Cricetulus griseus: one gene and its partners. Each later gene encodes a partner of the first gene's protein in a complex. Links are inferred from orthologs where the notes say so. Each region holds a gene or a part of one and is shown in the gene's direction. Other genes may lie near its edges.

What was found.
Region 2: Skp1 (region 1) and Fbxo11 share a complex: the UniProt entries of both Homo sapiens proteins name them as parts of the SCF(FBXO11) complex. The link is inferred for Cricetulus griseus from reciprocal best matches to the Homo sapiens genes SKP1 and FBXO11.
Region 3: the proteins of Skp1 (region 1) and Fbxl5 are in contact, whole or in part, in a cryo-EM structure (PDB 6VCD), measured with the Homo sapiens proteins. The link is inferred for Cricetulus griseus from reciprocal best matches to the Homo sapiens genes SKP1 and FBXL5. Residues at the interface, in NP_733779.1 of Homo sapiens: Phe101, Ile104, Leu105, Asn108, Leu116, Asp117, Cys120, Lys121, Val123, Ala124, Ile127, Lys128, Gly129, Lys130, Pro132, Ile135, Arg136, Phe139, Ile141, Asp144, Phe145, Glu149, Val153, Arg154, Glu156, Asn157, Gln158, Trp159, Cys160; in NP_036293.1 of Homo sapiens: Ile205, His207, Leu208, Pro209, Val212, Ser215, Ile216, Tyr219, Leu220, Gln223, Glu224, Cys226, Arg227, Cys228, Ser229, Gln230, Val231, Ser232, Met233, Trp235, Ser236, Lys240, Trp245, Arg315, Leu316, Gly319, Leu320, Asn323, Val324, Tyr327.
Region 4: the proteins of Skp1 (region 1) and Fbxl3 are in contact, whole or in part, in a crystal structure (PDB 4I6J), measured with the Homo sapiens proteins. The link is inferred for Cricetulus griseus from reciprocal best matches to the Homo sapiens genes SKP1 and FBXL3. Residues at the interface, in NP_733779.1 of Homo sapiens: Gln97, Leu100, Phe101, Ile104, Leu105, Asn108, Leu116, Asp117, Cys120, Lys121, Val123, Ala124, Ile127, Lys128, Gly129, Lys130, Pro132, Ile135, Arg136, Phe139, Ile141, Lys142, Asn143, Asp144, Phe145, Thr146, Glu149, Glu150, Val153, Arg154; in NP_036290.1 of Homo sapiens: Asp35, Trp36, Gly37, Leu39, Leu40, Ile43, Gln46, Val47, Tyr50, Leu51, Leu53, Leu54, Asp55, Ala57, His58, Ala59, Ser60, Gln61, Val62, Cys63, Arg64, Trp66, Asn67, Phe70, Glu82, Lys92, Ala93, Thr94, His95, Glu97.

What each region holds. Positions count from the first base shown.
Region 1 is NC_048600.1:66,399,269-66,403,592, forward strand, and holds the start of Skp1 (S-phase kinase-associated protein 1), read left to right. Parts: upstream 1-1,464; 5' UTR 1,465-1,618; intron 1,619-2,720; exon of another isoform or gene 2,721-2,872; intron 2,873-4,324. UniProt on the Homo sapiens protein: Essential component of the SCF (SKP1-CUL1-F-box protein) ubiquitin ligase complex, which mediates the ubiquitination of proteins involved in cell cycle progression, signal transduction and transcription.
Region 2 is NC_048598.1:89,623,487-89,627,047, reverse strand, and holds part of Fbxo11 (F-box only protein 11), read left to right. Parts: intron 1-565; coding exon 566-710; intron 711-3,406; coding exon 3,407-3,536; intron 3,537-3,561. UniProt on the Homo sapiens protein: Substrate recognition component of a SCF (SKP1-CUL1-F-box protein) E3 ubiquitin-protein ligase complex which mediates the ubiquitination and subsequent proteasomal degradation of target proteins, such as DTL/CDT2, BCL6, SNAI1 and PRDM1/BLIMP1.
Region 3 is NW_023276807.1:112,389,044-112,393,254, reverse strand, and holds the start of Fbxl5 (F-box/LRR-repeat protein 5), read left to right. Parts: upstream 1-1,367; 5' UTR 1,368-1,455; coding exon 1,456-1,539; intron 1,540-4,211.
Region 4 is NW_023276807.1:254,746,689-254,750,249, reverse strand, and holds part of Fbxl3 (F-box/LRR-repeat protein 3), read left to right. Parts: intron 1-897; 5' UTR 898-898; coding exon 899-1,246; intron 1,247-3,561. UniProt on the Homo sapiens protein: Substrate-recognition component of the SCF(FBXL3) E3 ubiquitin ligase complex involved in circadian rhythm function. Plays a key role in the maintenance of both the speed and the robustness of the circadian clock oscillation.

The sequences.
Region 1 (4,324 bases):
CTCCATGTGGAAGAAAGGCTCTCCAGTGGCCCTTACCTAGGAGGCCCAAAGCAGGAGCTGTGAAGGGCAGGCAGTGCTGCAGAGAGAAAGCCTGAGAAATGTGGGCCTTTCATCTTCTGTCATCAGCAGTGGCACCTGGCAGACACTGGATACCATAGCCCGCAGACAAAGACCTGGTAACCCAAGCCATTGCTTGACCTCTCTGCCCAGTCTTGTCCTAGAGAAACTGTAGTCTCTGGTTTCTTTAGGAGGCCCTGTGTGGAAGTGCCTTTTGTCTTTGTGGTGTCTGGAATACTATCACGTGCTTGCTGGCTAGGTGAGCCAGGCGCCTTGGTGGGGACAGTGATGCTCCCTAGACACAGCAGGGCAGGGCAGAGCCACCAATTGCACAGTTCCTGACTTGGGTGAGGCCAGATGGGTGCTTTTAGGCCTCTCCCTCTTTACTGCAAAGCTGTTTCATCCTAGCGACCTTATCACAGCCTTCTGTGAGCTGCTCACACAGCACAGTCTGTTCAGGCTGGGCTTGACTGCCCTGGTTCACTACTAGATCCCAGCACTGGCCTCACCTACAGGGTTGAGTGCATGGTTACACAAAGAATGTATTCTCACATTATACATATTACGATGTTTTCATTTTCTAGGCTTGGAGCTTCGTTAACACAATGGCTATTTGGGGTCTGGAAGGCTCTTCAAAGGTCGAGGGTAGGAAATAAATGTTTAAAAATATCCAACAAGGTAGTGCATGACTGTAATCCCAGTGCTGTCACTCGGGGGTAGGCAGCCTGGTCTACATAGCAAGACCGGTCTCAAAACAAAACACTTCAGGCCTGCAATCCCAGAGCAGGGGGTTTTAGAGCAATTTGGTTTACATAGTAAATTTGTGGCCACCCTGTACTACACGAGACACTGTCTCATCAAGACAAGACAAAACAACAACAAAAAACTCTTACAATCAAACAGGCAGGGTGTGCTAAGTCAGGAGTATCCCAAGTTCTTAGGCCTGAAGTGACACCTGGTCTCAACATGCCGTGAGATTTTTTTTTTTTTTTTTTAAATTAGCATCAGTGGAGTAAGGTTCAAATCCCGAATTCCTGGTGGGCAAACACAACCTCACCTCTTTGGGTTATTAGGAGAGTAACGAGGTGAATCTGTTAAGTGAAACACACATAAGCCGCTTTTGCGGTTTGTTGTTTCCAGGCTTTTCAGGGCTGGCGTCTTTCATGCAGTTCAAGACAGCCCCTGCCTGAAAGACCCTTAGGGTCGCGTTGGTACCTCAGCCGCTGCCGGCGTCCGCACTGAAGGAGAGCATGGCGCTCTCGAGGGCAGAGGAGAAAGGCGGAAGCCCCTCCTCTGCCTAGCCGCCCATCCACCCGATGTCCCTCAGCATCTCTCCCGCAGGCCTCTGCAGCGCTCAGGGTCTGGCGCGCCGCCCTCCGCCTACCGTCAGGCGATCTCAACGGCCAGCCCGGCCGGCTGTGTGACGTCACGAGCTCGGGGGCCTCGGCGCCCGCTTCCCGCTCCTATAAAAGCCGGCCGCCGCGAGGCGTTGCTGTAGTGGCCTTGTCCTCGGTATTTCTCGTCGTGTCTGAGTGCTGCTCGTCAGCCTCGACCGAGCACCGTGAGTAGCCGCCCGCGAGCTGGGCCAGGACGTGGTCCCTGGAGGGCGGGCGGTGGTGGAGCCCCGGGGTGGCTATGGCCTGCACGAGGCGGCGGCGGCGGCGACTCGGCCTGGCGTAGCCTGAGGCACTGTGGGGCCCGTTGCCGACTCTGGACCGCGGAAGGCGCGAGGCGGCCGAGTCAGGCCTCCGCGGGCCGCGTGTCCTCACGGCGCTCGCCCGAGGAGTGTGAGCGGAGCCCTGTGACGAGCCTGCTCTGAGGGCGGCGTCAGTCAGGCTCGAACGCGGCTGCAAGGCCCAGGCTTCGGCCCGGGCCTGCCTGGGCGATAGGTTTGCTGCCCCGCGCTCCAGGACAGGTGGCGGCGGCGCTCTGCGTTTTGGGGGGAGGGGGGGTTGGCCGCCCAGGTGGTGGCGGTCGTTGTTAGTCTGCTCGATTTTTGGCTCCCTCGCCTGTATCTGGCGCCACTAGCTCCCTTTTGGTCTCGCTTCTTCTACCACCGAAACTGCAGGTACAGACTCGATATTTCTTTGCGTTGTTTTGTCGTGTCCTGCAGTCTCTGAACTTAGCTACTGTAATAGCAGACCCCGTCCTCTGAGGTGTGTCTTTTAGGAGCTTCCGACTCCTAAACTTGAGATGCCTGGGTTCTTTAAAGGGATAGTGTGACATCTGCCCTTTGGTTCACTTTTTTTTTAATGGAGTCCGCAGGTTTGGGGACTTGCAGTTTTTCTTCCGAATGTCACAGTAGAATGTGTCTGTGGCATAGAACAATGCAGCCCCTTCCATCCTGCAGTCTAATAGCAAGTGTCAGAATTTCGAGTCACTTAAAAACAGATTGTTTTTTAAGTCTGGTGTACTAGAATTCTTTAGGTTGTTTAATTTCCAAGTCCAGGAGTTAGAAAACTGAAGGTTTTTTTTATTATTATTATTTTTTTGAAAGCATGTCAGGTCGAAATCTCATGCATTATTACTTGAAAATTTTGCACTTAATTCCAACACAACACCGAAAGTTAAGTCTAGGATTACAGAGTGCATTGAATTACAGATTAACCGATTGTCTCCCTGTCATTTAATAAGATCCTGGCTCCCGCACAAGCAACCTAATACCTGAATTCTACTATGACTAAGCACATCTTTACTTATTGTGGATTATTTCAAGGAAATATGGAATGATGTTGCTTTTAAAGTAATTCTATCAACTACGTAGTTAGACTTGTTCTGGAGTGTTCGTTACAGTACTGGGGACTATAGAAAGAAGGTAATGTTTTGCTATGAAAAACTAGCCTCCCTTCACTGTTAACTGTGTTGTTGCCTTATTATAGGGAGGGTCTGCTGCTCTGGGCTTCTCTGTTCTGCATTATTGGCAAGCACTGAGAAACATGGAGAAGCAGACATGTTTGTGAGTGGAAAAGTGAAATCTGATTCTCTCAAACCATGGGTGAGGGAGAGCTGGGTATTTTAGTGGATGATTGTAAAATGATTTAGCTCACCCCTGCCCCAGCTTGTTTGCTTGAGGCATGGGGACAAGTGTCGGAGGAAAGCTGAATTTAAGAGAATTTTAAGAGATGTCGAGTCTTAAGTGTGTGAGGGTAAAATGGGCGAAGTAATTATTTTAAATGCCAAACACCAGGCTTTTGTGAAAATTCACATTGTCGCCCCCCTCCCCCCAGGGTTTCTCTGTGTAGCTTTGGAGCCTATCCTGGCACTCGCTCTGGAGACCAGGCTGGCCTTGAACTCACAGAGATCCGCCTGCCTCTGCCTCCCGAGTGCTGGCTTCACATTGTTTCTTAATACAACCTAGATCAGAAAGCTTCAGAGGTACCTTAAGTTAGTAGATAGTAACATTGGAGGATTGTCTACCTCAAAATCACAGACTTTAACAGTTGCTTGTGAGTCAAGCTTGGTACACACCTTTAGTCTCTGCACTGGAGGCAGAGGCAGGTAGATCTCTGAGTTTAAGACTAGCTCTGTCTACAGAGCAAGTTCCAGGACTGCCAGGGCTACACAGAAGAACCCCTTCTCAAAAAACAAACAACCCCTAAAAAAAAGTTGCATATGAATTTTAAAGAGGTCTTGAATTAATCCTCTTTGGAGCAATGTGGGAGAAATCTGAAGGTGATAAGAAATTTCAGGCTTGCTTTGAGCTTTTAGTTTTAGATTTTTTTTTTTACTTTCCCTCAAATTCAAGTCATGTTAGGAGTTTTCGGTTTCCTACCTTTTTTATATATGAATTATATTTTTCCTAATGGCTCATATTTTATCTGAGTCCATGAGATTTTTGGAGATTTGGGCTGTTGAGTTCCGTTTTTGAGACAGGGTCTCATGAAACCCAGGCTAGCCTCATACTTCCTTCCTATGTGTCAAGATGGCTTTGGACTCCTGATCCTTCTGGTTGCCTAAATGCTGGGATTATGGCATGTACTTATTTACTGGCTCACCTTTTGGACAGGAGGAGAGGACAGTGTTAGGTAATTATACTACTGAGCTATATCCACAGCCTCTTTGGTATTTTGTTTTGAAGCAGGCCCTTACTGAGTTCTCCCAGGCTGGCTTGAACTCATTATATAACCTGGGCAGTCCTTGAATTTATTATCCTCCTGGCCTTAGTCTTCCAAATATTGGGCATTACAGGACTGGTTTCTCTGTGTAGTGCTGGAACTCATTCTGTAGGCCAGGCTGGCCTCAAACTCACAGAGATCTATGCCTGTCT
Region 2 (3,561 bases), on another chromosome or scaffold:
TTGAATTTTTTTAAGACTTATTTTTTATTTTTAATTATGGGTGTATGTGTTTCTGTGGAGAGGGTATTAATTACAATTGCCTGAATAGGCTAGAAGAAGGCATTGGGTTTCCTGGACCTGGGTTTACAGGAGGTTTTGAGTTTCTGGTTATGGGTGCTGAAAACCAAGCACAGGTCCCCTGCAAGAGCAGTGCCAACTCCTGCCTTATTTTCATATAAAAGTCTTTTTTTTTTTTTTTTTTTTTTAAGTAGCCAGGCCAGATGGTAGAGCCATAAAGCGGAGCTACTTGGGAGGCTAATAAGGGCATGAGCAGGGTTAGAGGGTTGGAAAATTAGTGCCTCCCTAAGTTAGTGAGTTGAAGGCCAGCTTAGGAAACTTTTCAAGACTGCCTTAAACATAAAACAAACAAAAACCCCTGTGTGTTGGGGTGGAGGGGGCGCATGGGCGCACGAATATATGTAAGATAAAAGGAAAATAGAACTCATCAAAAAATAGAAATTATTCTTTAATAAGGAAACCATTGCTTGGTAAATACATTGCTTACACTTTGTTAATCTTTTTTTAGCAGCACCTGCTGAACAGTATCTTCAGGAGAAACTGCCAGATGAAGTAGTTTTAAAAATTTTCTCTTACTTGCTGGAACAGGATCTTTGTAGAGCCGCTTGTGTGTGTAAACGCTTCAGTGAACTTGCTAATGATCCAATTTTGTGGTAAGTGTAAACCTCCTTGTTATCTTGAAATACAGTATGTGATGCCTAAAATGCCAAAATGTAGGGAAGTTGAAGTGTGAGTTTCTAGTTAGAGCTAAGTAGTTAAAAGAAAAATTAAAATGTTTATAGACTCTGTTACCTGATTATCATAAATGTGGAGAACTTGTCAACTCAAGAAATGTTTATAAACCAGTAATTGAAATGGTTTCGGCTGTTTATAAGTTGATTTAACAGCTGAGTGATTTGGGAAGAAATGTTTTATTTGTGCAGTCTGGTGTGGTGTTGAAGACAGAATCTTGTGTAGCCGAGGCTGCCCTTGAACTCCTGAAATCTGTCTGCCTCTGCATTTGCCTCCCAAGTGCTGGGATCAGAGGCATGTGTACAACCACCCACCCAGCCTGGTCTACAGAGTTAGTTCCAGGATAGCCAAGGCTACATAGAGAAGCCCTGTCTCAGAGAGGGAGAAGAAAGAAGGAGAGAGGGAGAGGGAGAGAGGAAAGAAAGAGATGCTCGGAAGAAAGTAGGGCACACCAGGAACATGGATATGAGTCATGTAAAGATATGCCCAAGTGTTGGTACAGGCTCCTCAAGGGCCTCATTTTTTGAAAGCAGGGCTAATTGGGCTGGTGGCACCAAACCTTTAATCCCAATCCCAGCAGAGACAGACAGAGTTCAAAGTCAGTTTGTTTGGTTTACAAAAAGAATACCAGCCTGGGCTACATATGAGACCTTGTCTCAAAAACAAAGTAAAAAAAAAAAAAAAAAAAAAAAAAATTTGGCTGGGTGATAGTGGTGTATAGTGTTGTATGCTTTTGATACCAGCATTCAGGAGTCAGAGGCAGACAGATCTCTGAGAGTTTGAAGCCAAGCCAACCTGCTCTCCAGCATGAATTCCATTATACAGAAAAGCTCTTGTCTGGGAATAAATAGGGCAGGGGGAGAGGAATCAGCCAAGTGTAATTTTAAAATAGTTCTTTAGACCTAGTAGTTCAGTGAGTATATATGTTACGTTATACATACCTGAAAAATAGTTATAGTTATAACTTTTTTTGTTTGTTTTTCAAGACAGGGTTTCTCTGTGGTTTTGGAGCCTCTTCTGGTACTAGCTCTTATAGACCAGGCTGGTCTTGAACTCACAGAGATCCACCTGCCTCTGCCTCCCCAGTGCTGGGATTAAAGGCGTGTGTGCCACCACCACCTGGCTTATATTTATAACTTTAAATACACATTCCCTTTAGCCTAGTCATTGTATTTATGAAAATGTTTTCACTTTTTGCACAGTTTTTCATAACCACATGTAAGTAATGAGTAGGGAAGTGGAAATGATCTCCTTCCAGCAGTAAGGAAACGAGGTAAGGTCTGGCACTAGGATTGGTCACTTGCCCTTTCTGAGGGCCTGGTTGGGTTCCCAGCAGCACCACACACACACACACACACACACACACACACACACACACACACACTCTCCTCCCAGAAGTCCTGCAAACACACCTTTTACAAAAAGAGGGAAATGAGTGAACTGTATGATGCTGGTTAGAAGATTGAGATAAATCTGCTAGCCGTGAATTTTACTTTAGACAAAGTTAGGGGTTTTAAGTCAGGTCTGGTACACCCCTATAATCTTAGGGCTTGGATGGTAGAGGCAAGAGACTCAGTTCCCCAGCTCCATAGGAAAGTTGAGGTTGCCTGAAACTCTGTCCAAAAGAAACCAACATGAAACAAAAGGTGAACGGAGCAGAGTAAGGTTTGTTACCCTTTCAGAAGGGAAAGACACTTGCCACCAAGCCTCACAGCCTGCATTTGATGTCTGGATCCAGAAGTAGTCTCTGACCTTCACATGAGCATGGCATGTACATACTCCTCTAACCCACACAGAGATTTAAAAAAATAATTAAAACCTTTTAAAAAACATGTTTTATGCTGATTAATCAAAGAAAATGAACAATGTATAGGTAAAAAAGACTGGAAGAAAAATACGTCAAACATTAGTAATGAATGCATTGAAACTGTGTGCTATCTTTTATGCTTGGGTTTTATGGAGCAGGAGAGGAGAGTGTGTGTAGTCAGGGTCTTTTTGGTGTTTTGAGACAGGGTTTCTCTGTGAAACAGCTTTGGCTGTCCTAGAACTCACACTGTAAAGCAGGCTGACCTCAAATTGACAAAGATCCACCTGCCTCTTCCTCTGCCTCCCAAGTACTGGGATTAAGGGTACATGCCACCACTGCTGGCTTTTTTAAATTAAGAATTTCATAAAATATATTTTGTTAGCCAGGTGTAGTGACACATGTCTTAAATCCCAACACTCGAAGGCAGAGGCCGGTAGATCTTTAGTTCTAGGCCAATCTGGTCTACACAGTGAGTTCCAGGACAGCTAGAGGTACTTCGTGAGACCCTGTCTTGAGGGGAAAAAAAGGTATTTTGTCTGCATAGTGGCACACATCTGTGGTCCCAGGTACTCAGAAGGGTAAGGCAGGAGGCTCTCTTGAGCCCAGGAGTTTGGAGCCAGCCTGGACAACACAGAGGCCCTACACTGCCAGTGCCGTCTGAGGAACTGATCAGTTAACTAATTTCTATTATTTTGTTATTTAATTTATCTGTCCTTACTGAAATTTTGGTCATTCAGATGACATATTTAATATTTTATTAATCTAGAGAGTATTTTATAAGAAAATCTTTAATTCCTTTTTTCCCTTCAGGAAACGATTATATATGGAAGTATTTGAATATACCCGCCCTATGATGCATCCTGAACCTGGTAAATTCTACCAAATTAATCCAGAAGAATATGAACATCCAAATCCATGGAAAGAGAGTTTTCAGCAATTGGTATGAAATACAGAAAATACAGATC
Region 3 (4,211 bases), on another chromosome or scaffold:
ATCTCCAGAGGGGAGCTGCTGATGGGCTTTCTGGAATGAAGCAGGGTTTAGGGAGAGAGAGATGGGGGAGGGGGATTAAGGAGGAGCTTCCAGCAGAACAACAGTCTTAATTTCCTAACGCTGTTTACAGACATTGTTATGAGCCTGGTACTCCTATAAGCACTTCAAATATATAAATTTAGCTCTTAAAATCTTATAAAGATACTCCCTCCCGCCCCCCGTTTTACAGAAGATAATATACTTAGGTCGGGCACAGAAGTCCTGTAGCTTTCCTAGGTTAAATACAACTAGGGTTTTGTGAAACAACCTAATTTTCATCTCCGGAGTCTTGTTTTCCTGCTCATCTTGCATGTTAATATCAAATGGTAAGATTAGAACTACACAGATTCGCTCTAGAGTTCTTTCTTATCTCCTTCTACCCCATTTTTGAACATTTGATTCCTTTTACCTGTTGTCATGAATTTGTGGTAGGGGGTAGGAAGGTGAATATCGCATATCTTCTGTTTACTGTCCAGAAGTTTGTGGCAATTAGCACATCATTCACAGGTTCTCAGCCTTGCCCTTGTTTCCTCTATTTCTCTATCAGTCCTAAAGCCACAGATGAGAGCTGCTTCCATTAAGTCGGAAAAGCATACTGGAGGGCTTAGATGAGGAAAGGTGAAGTGTAGGGGCGAGACCTACTGGCCTTTCTCTGGGCAGTGACCTCGTTTAAGGCCCTTTCTTCTTGTCTGAGCGCCTTCGGTTTAAAATGGCGGGATTTGTGCTAAGGCTGTTTGCCTATTAGACCGCCATGATGGCTCGCCCTTCCCCCACCAGGCTCATCTGGCCGCTCTGGGGTTGCTGTTCCCGTACTGGGTGTCTGTCCTCCTTCTGGCATCTCCAGTTCCCCATGGCCAACCTCCCACCCTCACACCAACGCTCCACGCAGGGGCGAGACAAGGGGCTGCCATGTCTCCTGACCTCAGCCACAGCGCGGAGGCCCGGCTAGCGAGGCCCAGAGCCGGCAGCCCCGGCCTAGCAAACCCCGAGGCAGCGAGGGCGGCTGGGCGCTCGGAGCGCTCACAGTCACCCCGATCGTAGAGCTTAGGCTCGACCCGACCACGCAGGTCAACTGCCCCGCCTCAAGTCACGGAGGAGCACCCTTGAAGACCCCCGCCCTCAGACACTGCGCTTTTAGGAGAAGACACGGTCAGGTCTCTGCACAGCAGAGGGGGGGAACGTGCACGCAGACGGGAGGTGGAATCCGTACGCCTCGGCGCGCGCTGGTCACGTGGGCTGCGGCATCGCATGGCGGCGGCCCGCGCGCTCCCGCGGAGCGGCCGCGGAGCGGCCCGGGCGCGCGCGCCGACGGGGCGGGCGCATGCGCAGGGGGGCGCGCCGCCTCTGCCCCGCGGCGAGGGTGTCTATGGAGAGGCGGCGGCTGCGGCTGCTGAGGCGGACGCTGAAGCTGTGGCGATGGCTCCCTTCCCCGATGAAGTGGACGTCTTCACCGCCCCACACTGGCGGATGAAGCAGCTGGTGGGGCGCTACTGCGACAAGGTAACGGAGCGCGGGGCGGAGGGCGGCGCGGAGGAGCGGGCGGGTTCCGGGCGGCCTGGCCTGCGCGCCTCCCGCCGCCCCCGGGTTGGGGCCGTACGATCAGCCGCCTGCGCCCCGTCAGCCGCGCGCCTCCCGCACCTTCCCGCCCGGTCCCTGGGAAGCCCGCGCCGGCCGCGGCCTGGGACGTGCCTTCGGGGCGCGCGGCGCCTGCCCAGCGTCCTGCTCGCGGGTCTGGCCTGTGCGGGGGTGAGGGGCGCTCCCGGAGCCGCAGCCGCTGTCCCTTCAGGGTTGGAGAGACCCGGGTCGGTCGCCCGCGGGAGCTCCCGGTCCGCGTCCGCAGGCCGCTTCTGCGGTTGCTCGCCACCGCGGGACTGCCCGCCCGGCCCCTTCGGGCTCTTTGAGTCGCTTTGCAAACATTGCGTCCCCCGCCTGGACCTGTGACTTGCTTCCCGGCTCCATGGGCAGCGTCTTGAAGCCACCGGAGCGGGTTTATTTTCCCTGCCAGTGTCGCACTGGTTTGGTTCCGCACGCAGGGGCCGGGGAAGACCTGCACGCTACATTTCTGTTTACCTTTTTTCCTTCCAGCTTTTATTTTTCCCGAATATTTAGTCCTTGTTGATTTTGGTTTAAGACAGCTAGCTGTTCCTCTGTTGGCCTTAGGGAAAGTTGGTTTGCTGTGAAACTCGTTTTGGACTTTTAATTGATGTCGCCTAAATTGAATTACTTTTATGGAAATGAGTTGAAGGTCTTTTTCTAATGTTTCTTAAAATTCCCATTTGTCAGTTTATGTTTGGAAGGTCAAATATGTGTAAACTCTGGGCACGTCCTGTGTTTGGTAAGAATGAACCAAATAAATAGCTGTTAAGTAATTATTACTTAAACACAGACATAAGTTGAATTTTCAGAAATTACACAGAATTAGCACCATATTAACAGCAAGTAAGAGTTGGCCTACAACCCAGAGAACCCAGTGTCTTCATTGGTAGGTCACAGGAAGACCGGCAATTTGAAGTTTCAGATCTTAGCATTACTGTCCGACAACCCTTTCTCTATCTCCATTTTGGGAAAAGAAAAAACAAAACAACAAACAAACCCAGTCCGAGTCAGGTGTACCTTTAAACACACTGTTTAGATCATGGTTCTCCACTTCGTTGCTCTTTAAAATCCGACCCCATTCATATTGGATGTCTGAGCATGGAACCCAGATATCAAGTGTAATTTTGAGCTCTCAGGTGAGAGTGGGGTACAACGAGGGTGATTATCTCTTTTATCTAGGAGAAACTTAACGACTGGTTAACCCTTGAGCAGAAGAGTATAATCTTGCATTTTTCAGTTAGTGGTTTTGTTTTTATAATCTCCACTTTTTGGATTTTTTTTTCTCACACTATGCTTTAATTTCAGGCAAGGAAAAACTTTTCCCCCACTTTTCTTAAAAAGCAAAAGGGGAATTTAATGAGGACTGATTAAATCCAAGGCTTTACTCTGATTTTGTCGAGAGGGAGTCGAGAGACTCTCTGGTGATAATGGGAAATGTTGTCAGTTTGTACACTTCCATATGAGCTTTCTGGTATTTAAGATGTTTCAGGTTGCCAAAGGATTATGACCAATCCAGATTATCAAAATTTATAATGTACTACTCAGTCTCTTTAAAAACAATATTCTTTTGTTTTCCTACTTTTTTTGACACAGTTTTCTCCCCTAGTCCAGGCTGGCCTTGAGAATTCACTACATTGCACAGACTGGCCTTGAACTTCTGAGCTTCCTGCTTCCACCTTCCAGGTTCAAGAATTACAGGCATTTGTCACCCCACTGGGCACAGCCATTATTTTTGTGTCTCTTTTTGGTGTTTGAGAACATTTGAGCAAATTTTGGAAATGCAGTTGACTTAAATAAAATGAGTCAAATAAGATTCTTCTCAGTAGTTAAATGTTCCCTCTTGCATAGCCAGTTTAATAAAGCATGTTTAATTTGGTATAGTTTTATTTCAAATTGACTCTGATTTGTTCCCAGCATTGTATAGAAGTCATTAATTCTGAATTAATTGCATGTAGTTAATGAGATTATTGCTTATATTCCTCAAGAATACTAAAAGTTTCAGTTTTCTTAACTATGACCAAAGCAATTTAATGACGAAAAAAGAACTGCACAGTAATTTCCATCATTTTTTCTAGTTACCAATGACCAGTGGAAGGTTCTCTGGGTGTCCTTTGTGAGCAGAAGTGGGAAAATAACTTTTTTGATGGCAGACTAGCCTTAAAGAACTAAGAGTTGTTTTGGTTAGTTTGTCATTTCCAGGTTTGCCATTGTCATCTTTCTTTTAGTTGTATAGATCAAGGTTATCTGATCCAAATAACCTGCAGTAAAACTGCAAAATGAGAACTAGTTTTTGGTTAAAGCTAAAAACTACAAAGTATGTTATTTCACTGTATTCTTGATATTGACTGAGAATGTCCAGAAACCATAAAGATTTCAATTTTATTCCCAGTATTGAACTTGTAAAACACAGTATATTCACAAAATGATTTCTTTAGGATCATCAAATCAGTTTTTCTGTGCTTTGAGTAATTTACTTAGAGCGAATTATTAAGTTGTTACAGATTATGTTAAATATTTCTGTATAATAGTTTAATGTGTTGCCTGTGGATTTTCTTTATTAAAAAAAGTCATCCAAA
Region 4 (3,561 bases), on another chromosome or scaffold:
TCCTCGAACTCCCAGAGATCCGCCTGCTGGGATTAAAGGTGTGTGCCACCAATGCCCAGCAAGAACCCTGTATCTTAAGGTCACCGTTTTACAAACAGGAACATCTGACAGTCTTGTCATTTACCCAAAGCCATACAACTAGTGAGAAGGGGAGCAGAGACTCAAACTCAGGAAGCTTGGTCTTAGAGCTTCTAGTCCCATTGGCTACGAGAGCAGATCATCTTTTCAAGAAGCAAATGGAATGAAGTGTGTAATGTAGAAAACACATGGAAGTGTTATTCAGGAAAAAAGGAAAAGACAGGGAGAGCAGAGTGACAATAATGAGTTGAGGGAAGAAACCACATTCCAGCTGAAACAGTGCAGTCAAGGTGGATTGCCTTAATTATTTAATCTGTTTTATGCTGTTCCAGGTTGAGCACAGGCCTGGAGTGGTTCGGGCAAGGTCTTTAACATTGGGTTATGCTCTAGCCCAAGTTTGGACATATGCAGCCGTACTGGCACTTGTCACAGCTATTTATTCAGTGTAGATCTGTTGACTACTTACCTTTCTTTCATCCTCTCTAGAGGTTCATAGGCACCTTGATCGACTTGACATTTAAGAACTCAAATATAGTTATCCTTGGGTGACTGACGAAATTGGAAAGTATCACTATAGGCTCTTTTCTAGTCACTTTCAGTATTGAGTACAACTCTTGAATCATATATCTGTGGTTTTCTTAGGTCATAAGTAGTGGTTGAAATCACCTCTCTCTATTTTTATATTCTCCTTGAATCATTGATTCAGTTCTGTGTGTATTTCTGTTAACTCTCCAAATGCAAATAGGTCTCAGTGACAGAAAATGAATTTGTGATTAAAAGCTAAGTAGGATGGGAAAAATGACGGATTTTTCTAAATAGGATGAAACGAGGAGGAAGAGATAGTGACCTTGACTCACCTGAAGAAGGCACTGCAGAGAAACGTAAGAAACTGAGGACTGCACATGAGTGTTCTCAACCTTGTGATTGGGGTAATCTGCTGCAGGACATTATTCTCCAGGTGTTTAAGTACTTGCCTCTGCTTGATCGGGCTCATGCTTCCCAAGTGTGCCGGAATTGGAATCAGGTGTTTCACATGCCTGACTTGTGGAGATGTTTTGAATTTGAGCTGAATCAGCCAGCTACATCTTACTTGAAAGCTACACATCCAGAGCTGATCAAACAGATTATTAAAAGGCATTCAAACCATCTGCAGTATGTCAGCTTCAAGGTAATACTTTAACTCCTTCTGTTAAAAATAAAGCATTTTTAGAGGCTTTAATGTTCTAACCAATACAACTTCTTATGTCTATAAAATATTTGACTCTATAGGGAAAGTGCTTAAAGTTTTGAAATTATTGCACACCTTAGAAGCCATTGCAAACATTTTTTAATATTCGATAGAACTAAAATACTCCTTTACAATTAATTACTTAAAAGAACAAAAGCAGTCACTAAGTGAGCATGAATTGACTGAAGTTTTAAGTTAACAGCGAATGGTTAACAACAAATTTGAGGAAAGAGCAATGTATCATTAACATTAAGGCAGTGGTTCTCAGTCTCTGGGTTTTGACCTCTTTGGGGGGGGGGTCATATCAGATATCCTGCTTATCGATACATACATTACAACTCATAACAGTATCAAAGTTACAGTTATGAAATAGCAATGAAATAATTTTATGGTTTGAGGTCACCACAACATGAGACAGTATTACAAAAGTTAGGAACCACTACATTGGGGAATGATTACTGAGCAGAACTTACTTGGCTATTTTATCTGCTTTTGTTTCATTTTGTTTTTCAAGACAGGGTCTCTTGGTGTAGCTCTGGCTGTCCTAGAACTCACTCTGTAGACCAGACTGGCCTCGAACTCTGAGATCTACCTGCCTCTGCCTTCGGAGTGCTGGGATTAAAGGCATTCGCCACCACCACCCAGCAAGTGTTTCTTATTTTGATATGTTTTCATTTTAAAAAAGAAAAAAAAAAAGCCCTAAATCTAAAGATGGTATAGAATCGAACTTTTCAACTTGAGTGTATTTTAGAGGGAAACGGAAGAGGGGGATTGCTTCATTTCAGTGTTACAAGGGGCGAGTAAGAGCACGTGTAATGGTGAGATGAGAGAGAGCATGTGTCATGCTGAGATGAGTGAAGGAAGGTGGTATTTGGAGATTTGAAGAGTGTTATATGAAATCATAGGAGCTTGTGTGAGAACAAGGGTTTATCATGTTGTATTTTGGGATGCTCACTGAATCCTTGATACTAAATTTTTCTTTAACAATTAGCGTTAAAAGATGAAAATGTGCCGGGCATGGTGACTCTCACATGTAACTTTAGGACTGGGGAGGCTGAGGCAAGAGAATCAACTATTTGAGGCCTCCCTGGGCTGTATATAGTAAGGCCTTCTCTCTTAAAAATGTTAAAAACAGCCGGGTAGTGGTGGCACACACCTTTAAGCCCAGCACTTGGGAGGCGGAGGCAGGCAGATCTCCATGAATTTGAGGTCAGCCTGGTCTACAAAGTGAATTCCAGGACAGCTAGGACTGTTATACAGAGAAACCCTGTCTTGAAAAACAAACAAACAAAAAAACGTTAAAAACAAAACCCAAAAAAGTAAAAGCATAGAATTGCCTGTCATTGCCTGACTTGCCTTTGTTTCCTGTTTGCTAAAGGAATTGGGTTAAATCTGTAGTAAGCAGTGGTCTTCACCTAGACCTTTATGCTGTTACTAAATACTATCTGTCTTCTGGTAAGATAGGAGAACTTGTAATAGAAGTGATTTGAGTAGATTGTAAAAGGTCCTTCTGTATAGTAGGCTGCCTGGGTCCTTGGTGTTTAGTCCTTATAGTCACTTACAGTCCAGTGATAGAGCTCAGGTACATCCAACTTATGGAACTCATTTGTACTTAAATTACTTTTTGTCAGGGATGTATTTTGCCATTTCTGATTTAGAAAGCAGGGACACAGCAGGGATTATTCTGGCCTCTCCTGATAATAGTTAAGTGGTCACTGTAAACTCAAGAAAACTTTAAGCCAAAACAGTGCTCCTCAGACTGTGCTCAGTAGCCTCACCAAGGCGGGTGTAAAGGCAGAGCTTGCGCCTCCCACTCACCGACTTTATAATTCAGATGGTTTGGTTTAGGATAAGAATTTGCTTGTATCCAGTATCCAGATCATTGTCATGTGGTTTGGGAACCTCATTTTGAGAGCTGTGATTAGTGCATTGTTTGCCCACATGATAGCAACTTAAGAGCTCCTTTGGCATGCAATAAAACACACATTTACTTGGGAATGAAAGTTACGGTATTTAACATTTGTAGTCTAGAGATAAACTAACTTTTACCCTTCAGGTGTGGGTGTTTGATTGTATTGTCCTTTACTTCGGGGAACTAAGCAGCAACCTCTATTTTGGTTCAGTTTATTTTGTGCTTGTTTAATTGGACACTCTTACTTTTCTCTAATGCATCTTTCAATTCAGAACACTGAGCAATGTCAGGTTATGTGGTTCATCTGAAAATTCTAAATGACATTAGTGTCTTCAGGTGTCCT